2 linked regions of the Callithrix jacchus genome follow. The protein of the gene in region 1 interacts with the protein of each later gene in a pairwise test. Links are inferred from orthologs where the notes say so. Each region holds a gene or a part of one and is shown in the gene's direction. Other genes may lie near its edges.

The links.
Region 2: the proteins of STAT3 (region 1) and GADD45GIP1 interact in binary tests that used the Homo sapiens proteins (3 or more experiments, as listed by UniProt). The link is inferred for Callithrix jacchus from reciprocal best matches to the Homo sapiens genes STAT3 and GADD45GIP1.

What each region holds. Positions count from the first base shown.
Region 1 is NC_133506.1:121,806,658-121,811,968, reverse strand, and holds the start of STAT3 (signal transducer and activator of transcription 3), read left to right. Parts: upstream 1-1,938; 5' UTR 1,939-2,133; intron 2,134-5,237; 5' UTR 5,238-5,311. UniProt on the Homo sapiens protein: Signal transducer and transcription activator that mediates cellular responses to interleukins, KITLG/SCF, LEP and other growth factors. Once activated, recruits coactivators, such as NCOA1 or MED1, to the promoter region of the target gene.
Region 2 is NC_133523.1:11,776,728-11,781,878, reverse strand, and holds the start of GADD45GIP1 (large ribosomal subunit protein mL64), read left to right. Parts: upstream 1-1,804; 5' UTR 1,805-1,815; coding exon 1,816-2,165; intron 2,166-4,496; coding exon 4,497-4,815; 3' UTR 4,816-5,151. UniProt on the Homo sapiens protein: Acts as a negative regulator of G1 to S cell cycle phase progression by inhibiting cyclin-dependent kinases. Inhibitory effects are additive with GADD45 proteins but also occur in the absence of GADD45 proteins.

The sequences.
Region 1 (5,311 bases):
AACTGCCTGGGATAGCATAGTTACAAGAGAATGTAGGCAAGATGAATGATATCTGCCTTGCAGTGTAAATGAACAGTTTAATCAATACACAAACTCTACAGGTAAATACAGCGATTTCCACACTGGGCTGTTTCTACCAGAGGGCAACAGGAGGCACTCAACCCCACCAGCAGTGACCCTGTGAATTGCCCCATAGATGCCTCTGTCCTTCGTTGGATGCAACGTGGTACAAGCGGTCTGAATCTGTAGATGTTAGACAGGCGTGGGAACCATGTGAATTTGTAAGTAAAAGCTTGTACTGTATGTTTCTGGAGCTAGAATCTAGTCTCCATCAAACTCTCAAAAGGATCTGTGATCCCCTTCCAAAGGTTAAGAGTCATTGATTTTTCTCACCAGAAATTAATAAGAACAGCTATCCTTGGGGAGAAGGACTGATGGGGGTAGGGAAAGATTTTCATTAAAAAATTTTGACCTTTCTGAACGGTCTGCATTTTCTTTTCTTTTTTTTTTTTTGAGACGGAGTTTCGCTCTTGTTACCCAGGCTGGAGTGTAATGGCGGCATCTCGGCTCACCGCAACCTCCACCTCCTGGGTTCAGGCAATTCTCCTGCCTCAGCCTCCTGAGGAGCTGGGATTACAGGCACGCGCCACCATGCCCAGCTAATTTTTTATATTTTTAGTAGAGGTGGGGTTTCACCATGTTGACCGGGATGACCTCATGATCCACCCGCCTCGGGCTCCCAAAGTGCTGGGATTACAGCGTGAGCCACCGCGCCCAGCGGTCTGCATTTTCTAAATACGAATCAGGTTCATTAAAAAGTCAAGGGTTATCTGAGCAGTGAGATAATGGCACCTTTTCAGATTTTGTCTCTATACCTGTTCGTATTAAACAAACACAAATATTAATAACATATTTTTAAAATCTTAAAAAAAATTAAAAACCCTGATAGTATCAGCACATACACAGAAATCACTCCATTATGCAAAGTTCATCCTCTATTATGAAAGGCAAAATATGTACATTTCCTATGAACCACTGACTTCAATTCTGTAAAACTTGCATACCAAGTAGACAAGGTGGAAAAGAAAAAGGCAGAACATTTCATGTATTTCAATTCAGACGCATACAAATGTCAAGTCTTACAAGTACGTGTCAGCTTTCGTATATAATGTCTTCTGCATTTGCCTGTACCAGCCAATGGGCTAGCCGGTCGGCGTTTGGTGCTTGAAGTGATGGAACGGAGGACGGGGTTAAATCCACTACCCTCTCCCCACGCACTCTAGTAATTACTCTATTTCCACGTCATGTTTCCGGGTGCATGTGTCCCTGCTCACGCAGAAACTGAAGTTCAAAGCAGGCGGAGTCACCCAGGTTCTTTTTGTTGTCCCCAGAACCGAATTTAGGAGTTGGGTCCCCAGAGGATCTGAAGACACCTGGGGGACTGTCTAACTGGCTGATTCTCACGTGGTAAGAGGCTCTCAACCTCGCCACCACGTGGTGCCCAGGGCCGGGAAAAGGGAGAGCGGGCAGTAGGGAGCTGTATCAGGGGCATTTAAAGTGCCTTGACGTCACACACTGCCAGGAACTCAGCTGAGTTTTCAGCAGGACATTCCGGTCATCTTCCCTCCCTCCCCCGGGCTTCTGTGCCCAAGCCTTGAGCTCTTCCCTCGCTGTGGCGGAGGGAGGAGCACTAAACTGTCGGAACAGCCAACACAGGGGCGTATCAGTCTTCTCTTTTCCCCGCCCTTTCTCCTAGCGCCTCCTCTCATTGGCTAGTGGGCGTGGCTTCTGCTGTACCACACACGCACTGAGACCTCTGGATGGCCGAGCGAGCTGGCCGATCATGAATTATGCATGACGGCATGCCGGGCCCGGCCGGGGCTGGACGGGGATTGGCTGAAAGGGCTGTAATTCAGTGGTTTCCGGAGCTGCGGCGGCGTAGACTGGGAGGGGGAGCCAGGGGTTCCGACGTCGCAGCCAGAGAACAAGCCCCAACCGGATCCTGGACCAGCAACCCTGCTTGGCGCTGTCTCTCCTCGTCGGCAAGAAGAGGCCCTTTGGCCTGAGGGAGCCCCGCCGCCCGCCCCTGGCTCACGCGCAGCCCCGGCCTCTCGGCCTCCGCGGGAGAAACAGGTGAAGGGGGTGCAGGGTGGGGCCGTCGGGGAAGCCTGGGGACCCGGGGGCGCCGTAGGGCCCGGGGGCCTTTGGGACGTTGGAGAGGTTGTATGGACGCTGCATTGGGGCGGGGAGAGATGAGACGCGGAGGGTCGCCCTGAGGGAAGACTCCCCTGGATGACTGGAGCGGGCCTCGGAAGGGACTGGGGACTCTGGAGGGAAGTTTCGTTCTTCAGAGAAACAGTAAGAACGCGCTCGAGAGGGAACCGTGGGGCGAGAGCGCACTCGGCTGCGGCGGCAGGCGTGAGGGACTGTCCCCCGATTTCCTGCTCCTTGGGGCCCTGGGGACGTTCCGGCCACCGGAGCGACTGTCACACTGGCGGGGATCACCGGCTCTGGTGGGTGTCGGAAAGCGCTTCCTTTCCGCTCGGCCGGCGGCTCCCGCTGAGCCACTTCCTCCAGTTGCCGGGTTCCCGCTCCTTCAGGAGCCAGCTATACCCCTCTGGAGGCAGGAATAGGTGTCTGTCCCCTGCAGTCTCACGGACTGGCTGGTCTTGGGTAGGTTTATTGCATAAGAATCAAGTTCCCTCTAAGGAAATTGACAGACTGGTACTCTTCCTAAATTCCCTCCCATCTTTTTCTAGGTTAAGCTATACTCCCCTCACTCCACTCCCCCGCCTTGTAAAAAAGAGAGGAAAAAGAAAGAAGACAAAATAAAATCCCAATTAACCCGTCCAGCCAGCTGTAGAGAGAAATAAACCTCTTGACATTGTTCTTTTCCAAGCACCTGGTAAAGTCGGCCAGAAGATAAATAATTGAGCCATTGCCTTTACTGGATTGTGTTGTTGCTTAATTGCATAGGACAGAATGAACCAATCGAGAGTGGGAGTTTTCTGTCTCAGAGCCAAGATCTTGGGTAAATGCAGAGGAGAGTGAAACAAAGGCTGGCTTTGAAAAAAACCATGTGTGCAAACTTTACCTGCGTTTGGGGGTGTGTGTTTGCACTGAAGTTAAAAGGATTGAGACCGTCACCCAAGTTGGTATTTCCATGTTTGGTACACATCACTCTGCTATATCAGGTCGTTGTATGTGTGGTGACAAAATCAGTGGTTAGTCTTTTTTTTTTTTTTTTTGGAAATGTGTATAGTGTGTACCTGCTGGCTTTATTGTATATGCAACTAAAGGTTTATGTAGTCTGTGTATGGATTGTAAATTTTTGGCTGGCTGTGCTAATAAAACATTGGCTTGAATAAAGCAAAGCAGAAAATGATCTCAATCTTTTATATGTGGCTTTAGATTGTGTTATGACTTAATTCAGCCAGTTTTTTTTATTTTATATCAAATATATCTATGTTCTCTGAGTCAGCACATTTATTTCTTTATTACATGTTCCAGACTGGAGTGCTAGCCCAGTTTTTGTTCAGTTTGCACAGTGGGATGGGGGAAAGAAGTCTGGAATTAAATGTTTTAGAGGTTGGAGCCTTGATTTTAGTCTGTATATTAGCACACCATCACAAAGAACCATTGGTAAATTAAAGAATCTTTTGTTTTTTATGTAGTTCATTTGGGAAGAATAATCACTTAGAAACACCCACAGTTCCAGGCATGGTGGTGCACACCTCTGATCCCAGCTACTTGAAGGCTGAGGCTGGAGGATTCCTTGAGTCCAGGAGTTGAGTCTGGTCTGGGCAACATAGTGAGAGGCCAGGAGTTGGGTCTAGAGTCTAGTCTGGGCAACATAATGAGAACTTGTCTCTAAGAAAGAAAGAAAAAGGAAAGGAGGAAGAAAGGAAAAAAAAATACCCACAGCACAGTTATGAATTGACCTACAAAGGACTTGAGGTAGGTAGTTCACATAACAATTACCTTAATATTATAGATAAGAAAATTGAGGCCAAAGAATCAAGACACTTGCCCAAGGTAGCAGAGTGCCATAGTGGTGGCATTTGTGCCTCCTGCAATTTTTTTCTTTTCTTTTAATTTTTTTTCAAGAGAAAGTCTTACTCTGATGCCAGGCTGGAGTGCAGTGGCACGATCTTGGTTCACTGCAACCTCCACCTCCTGGGTTCAAGCGATCCTCCTGCCTCAGCCTCCTTAGTAGCTGGGACTACAGGCACGTGCCACCATGCCCAACTCATTTTTGTATTTTTAGTGGAGACAGGGTTTCACCATGTTGGCCAGAGTGATCTCGATCTGTTGACCTCGTGATCCACCTGCCTCGGCCTCCCAAATGCTGGGATTACAGGCATTAGCCACCGCACCGGCCTTTTTTTATTGTTATTATTTTATTTTATTAATTTTTTTTTTTTTTACACAGAGTCTTGCACTGTCACCCAGGCTGGAGTGCAGTGGCTCGATCTCTGCTCACTGCATCCGCCACTTCCCAGCTTCCAGTGATTCTCCTGCCTCAGCCTCCCGAGTAGCTGGGGTTACAGGTGCACCCCACCACGCCTGGCTAATTTTTGTATTTTTAGTAGAGATGGGATTTCCCTACATTGGCCAGGCTGGTCTTGAACTCCTGACATCGTGATCTGCCTGCCTTGGCCTCCCAAAGTGCTGGGATTACAGGCATGAGCCACTGCAACTGGCAAGTAACAGTGGAATTCTAGTTTCTTTTTTTTTTTATATGGGGTTTCACCATGGTGGCCAGGCTGGTCTTGAATTCCTGACCTCAGGTGATCCACCCACCTTGGCCTCCCAAAGTGCTAGGATTACAGGCGTGAGCCACAGTGCCTGGCCGTTAACAGTGAAATTCTAACATATATCTGAACAGTAAAATACCACCACTGGGCTGAAAGACTTCATGGGAGATATGTATTCAAAAACAGGTGAAAAAGGAAATGTAAATCGAGCTTGCTGGTTATTTTTCTATCTAATTGCTATGTCTAACTTGGGAAGTAAAGAACTGTATTTGGGCTGGGCGCGGTGGCTCACACCTGTAATCCTAGCACTTTGGGAGGCCGAGGTGGGTGGATCACCTGAGGTCAGGAGTTCAAGACCAGCCTGGCCATCATGGAGAAACCCCATCTTAAAAAAAAAAAAAAGAACTGTTTTTGGTCAGCATAATTTATTATCAGAATTTAGCTATTTACTAATGAAATACTAATCTAGGTTTGTTTTAGGTGAAAGACAGTCATGACCCAAATGTCATTTAAACCAGAGTGCCTTGAGGATAAAGCGGCTTTATCCTCCCTGC
Region 2 (5,151 bases), on another chromosome or scaffold:
TTGTTGCACATTATGCTTCTAAGAATCATCCATCTTGCTGTGAGCAGATGTAATATCTGCTCTTTCATTCCTGTGTACTAGTCCGTTGGCTGAAACAGCATAATTTAGGTGTCCATTCTACTTGAGATGGACATTGGGTGTGAGCTAGTTCCAGCTTGGAAATTACATATATATGTGATGTTCCTATGAACATTTATGTCTTGAGAAAAATTACAATTCTTTTTTGCAGGGGCAGAGAAGGTGTGCATGTGTGTGATTAAAAAAAAACAGGCTGGGTGTGGTGGCTCACGCCTGTAATCCTAGCACTTTGGGAGCCCGAGGTGGGTGGATCACCTGAGGTCAGGAATTCAAGACCAGCCTGGCCAACATGGAGAAACCCCATCTTTAAAAACAAAAACAACAACAACAACATTTGGCCGGGTGGTGGCTCACACCTGTAATCCCAGAACTTTGGAAGGCCAAGGCGGGCGGATCACTCAAGGTCAGGAGTTTGATACCAGTCCGGCCAACATGGTAAAACCCCATCTCTACTAAAATGGAAAAATTAGCCAGGCATGGTGGCTAGAGCTTGTGGTCCCAGCTACTCAGAAGGCAGAAGCTCGAAAATCCTTTGAACCCGGGAGGCGGAGGTTGCAGTGAGCAGAGATGGCGCCACTGTACTCTAGCCTGGGAGACAGAGCAAGACTCTGACTCAAAAACAAAACAAAACACAAATTCTTTTTCTTTATTGTGTATATTTTACAATATGAAACATACTATATTCTACATTATAAGCAATATTTCCCACTCCTCCACCCCCAGCCCCTGGTAACACCTCATCGACTTTCTGTCTCTATGAATTTGACTACTCTAGTTACCTCATATAACTGAATACAATTTTTATCCTTTTGTGACTGCCTTATTTCACTTAGCCTAATGTCTTCAAGGTTCATCCATGTCACAGCATGTGACAGAATTTTATTTTTTTTCTCCCAGGCTGGAGAGCAGTGGGGCAACCTCGCCTCCCAGTTTCAAGCGATTCTCCTGCCTCAGCCTCCCCAGTAGCTAGGATTACAGGCGTGCGCTACCACATCCGTCTACTTTTTGTCCGTCTCAACCTCTAACGTCAGGTGATGCCTGCCTCGCCCTCTCAGAGTGCTGGGATTACAGCAGTGAACCACTGCGCCCGGCCACATTTAAATTTTAAAAAGTAATAAATGCTAATATAAATGCATAAAAGTAAAATTAAAAATATTTTTTACCCAAAGAACACTGAACGCTTAAAAACACATTTTTTAAGTGTCAGTGTGCAGAGGAAAAAAAGTGAAAATTAAAAATGACTTTAAGGCCGAGCGCGGTGGCTCACGCCTGTAATCCCAGCACTTTGGGAGGCCAAGGCGGGTGGATCACGAGGTCAAGAGATCAATTGACCATCCTGGTCAACATGATGAAACCCCGTCTCTACTAAAAATACAAAAAAATTAGCTGGGCATGGTGGTGCGCGCCTGTAATCCCAGCTACTCGGGAGGCTGAGGCAGGAGAATTGCCTGAACCCAGGAGGTGGAGGTTGCAGTGAGCCGAGATCGCACCATTGCATTCCAGACTGGGTAACAAGAGCGAAACTCCGTCTCAAAAAAAAAAGACTTTAATAAGTAACTGTTTAAAAGTTAAAGCTATACTTGGAAATGTATAAAATCTATACTAACTCCTTCTCCTCACTCCCCCGAACTCAGGCGGCAGGCACGTCCCTCGCCCTGCCCTGGCCCCCACCTGGCCTCGCGCTCAGGCAGCGCCTTGAACAGCCCGGCCGGCGTGCGAGGACCCCGCACGGCCAAGATGGCGGCGTCCGTGCGACAGGCACGTAGCCTGCCGGGGCTGGCGGCGACGCTGGGCCTGGGTTCCCGTGGCTACCGGGCCCCCCCGCCCCCCCGCCGCAGGCCAGGACCCCGGTGGCCAGACCCCGAGGACCTCCTGACCCCGCGATGGCAGCTGAGGCCGCGCTACGCAGCTAAGCAGTTCGCGCGTTACGGCGCTGCCTCCGGGGTGGACCCCGGTTCGCTATGGCCGTCGCCGGAGCAGCGGAGGGAGCTGGAGGCTAAGGAGCGCGAATGGTACCCAACCCTGGCGACCATGCAGGAGTCGCTGCGGGTGAAGCAGCTGGCCGAAGAGCAGAAGCGTCAGGAGAGGTGCGTGCGTGCAGGAAGACGGGGAGCTGCCCTCTGTGTCCCTTGGGCGAACTGGGCCCCAAACCGTGCCTACCCCACTGGGGGCACCTCGCAGCATCTACATGTTGTACATTTATATATACGCTTACCTGGCCGCAAAACAAACTCAGTAACAGTCCATTTAGGCATTCATCAGCAAGTCGTTTTGTGTTTTTTTGTTTTTTTTTTTTTTAAGTCTTACTGTTGCCCAGGCTGGAGTGCAGTGGCGCGACCTTCGCCTCCAGGGTTGAGCGATTCTCTTGCCACAGCCTCCCGAGTAGCTGGGATTACAGGCGTGAGCCACCGCAACCGGCCATGATCAGCAAGAATTTACTGAGCGCATACCGTGTGCAAGAACCCGTCCCAGGCTGCACGCGGTGGCTCACGCCTGCTATCCTAGCATTTTGGGAGGCCGAGGCAGGCCCCAAAGGGCTCCTGAAGCCAGGAGTTCGAGACCAGCTTAACTAACATGACGAAACCCTGTCTCTACTAGATACAAAAATTAGCCGGGCATGGTGGTACACGCCTGTGATCCCAGCTACTCGGGAGGCTGAGACAGAATAGCTTGAACCCAGGAGGCAGAGGTTGCTGTGAGCTGAGATAAGGCCACTGCACTCCAGCCTGGGCAAGAGAGGAAAACTCCATCTCAAAAAAAAAAACAAAAAAACAAAATCCTGTCCCAGCAGGAAACAGGCGAGATAATATCAGATGGCCACAGTGGACTGCCTATTAGGAAGGTAAAAGAGTGAAGAGTGCCTGCCTGAGGGCAGCTTTGGTTCAGTACTCTCTGAGGAGATGATGATTAAGCCAAGACCTGAATAACCAGACTTAGCCATGGGGAGATCTCTTAGGTAAAGAGTTCCTGGTAGAAGGAATAGCTGAGGCAAATGCTCTGAGATAGGATATGCCTTAAAGAAGAGCCAAGTGGCCAGTGTAGCTGGGGAAAAGTGAGGGCAGGAAGGTGATGGGTCCTGGAACCAAGGGCAGAGGTCGGGTACAGAGAGGCAAGTCTGAAGGACCACAGGCTTTTTTTTTTTTTTTTTTTTGAGGTGGAGTTTCGCTCTGGTTCCCCAGGCTGGAGTGCCATGGTGAGATCTCGGCTCACTGCAACTTCTGCCTCCCGGGTTCAAGCAATTCTCCTGCCTCAGCTTCTTGAGTAGCTGGGATTAGAGGCGTGCACCACCACACCTGGCTAATTTTTTGTATTTTTAGTACAGACAGGGTTTCGCCCTATTGGCCAGCCTGGTCTCAAAACTCCTGACCTCAGGTGATCCACTTGCCTCAGTCTCCCAAAGTGCTGAGATTACAGGCATGAGCCACTGTGCCTGGCTGGATCAGGGGTATCTGTTACAGATAATGCCACTTCCTGGATGGCAGAGGGGGTAGGTCAAGTGTGTTCCTGGTATTTAACCTTCTGGTTTTCCCAATAGCCTTAAGAGGAAGAAGGGATTGCCCTAATTTTAGAGATGAGGAAACTGAGGCTTGGCAAAGTGAAGTCATGTGTCTGATCACCCAGGCAGGGAATGTTGGAGCAGGGACTCGTTTCTGCCCTTCCTCAGCCAGATGACCCTGTTATAGGGCAGCTTAATTCTTCACTTTTCCAATCCGTAAATGAGGCCATCATAAAAAAGAACGAGATCATGTCCTTTGAAGGGACAAGAAGGGAGCTGGAGGTTATCATCCTTAGCAAACTAACACAGGAAAAGAAAACCGAATACAACATATTCTCACTTCTAAGTGGGAGCTAAATGATGAGAACACATGGACACACAGGGGAACAACACACATTGGGGCCTTTTGGAGGATGGAGGGAAAGAATCAGGAAAGAGAACTACTGGATACTAGGTTTAATATCTGGGTGATGAAATAAATCTGTACAAAAAGTTAAAAAAAAATGGGGCTGTGACTGGTAGCTACAAACTCAAGTATTGATGGGAAATGTCTTTCTTGCTTTCACTCCTGTGCCTAGAATTGGGCCTGGCTACAGTAGGTACTCAGCAATGTCTGTGGAATAAACATGTGAAATTGTCCATGGGAGTGGCACTTGGTGGCTCAGTAGGTAGCTCAGTGAAATGTTGATTTGGCTTTGGCACATGGGGTACTGGGGCTTGACACACTCTTGTGATCAAATTCATGCACAAGTAACTCTCTTCATCTCTTCCTGTTTCTTCACTTGTCAAGGGCTTCTCCTGACAGTTAACCTTCTGGGGGAGTTGAGAAGGCTAGTGCGCAAAGACCTATGGGTGGGTTATGGTGGGTGAGCTCTGCCCTGGCTGAATGCCAGCGTCACGGCCCACTCTCCCTCCCCTGCAGGGAGCAGCACATCGCAGAGTGCATGGCCAAGATGCCAAAGATGATTGAGAAATGGCGGCAGCAGCAACGGGAGCGCAGGGAGAAGGAAGAGGCTGACAAGGAGAGGAGGGCCCGACTGCAGGCTGAGGCCCAGGAGCGCCTAGGCTACCAAGTGGACCCAAGGAGCACCCGCTTCCAGGAGCTGCTCCAGGACCTAGAGAAGAAGGAGCGCAAGCGCCTCAAGGAGGAAAAACAAAGACAGAAGAAGGAGGCACGAGCTGCTGCAATGGCTGCGATGGCAGCCCAGGACCCAGCAGCCTCAGAGGCACCCAGCTCCTGAGCCTTTGTCCTTTCCCAATAAAAGCCTGCTCCCTGGCAGTCCCCCTGAAGAGACCTGTGTCCCCTCAAAGTGTGCCTCTCTGGATCCCCTGGTTCCTCCCACAACACCTAGGGCTGGGCTGGGGAATCCCCAACTTGGCTCTACTCAAAAGGGGGACAGGGATTGTAGGCCCTGCTTACTGAAGCTTCAGGACGAGAAAAGGCGGGGGTGCAATGGGCAAATAATAAAGAAGCAGATGGCAGAAGAGAAGAAGGCTTCTGTTTACCAACATTCTTCTCCGGTAATTAGCCAATTATGGGGTGGGGGGGAGGGGAGAAGTATAGCCAAAACAGACTG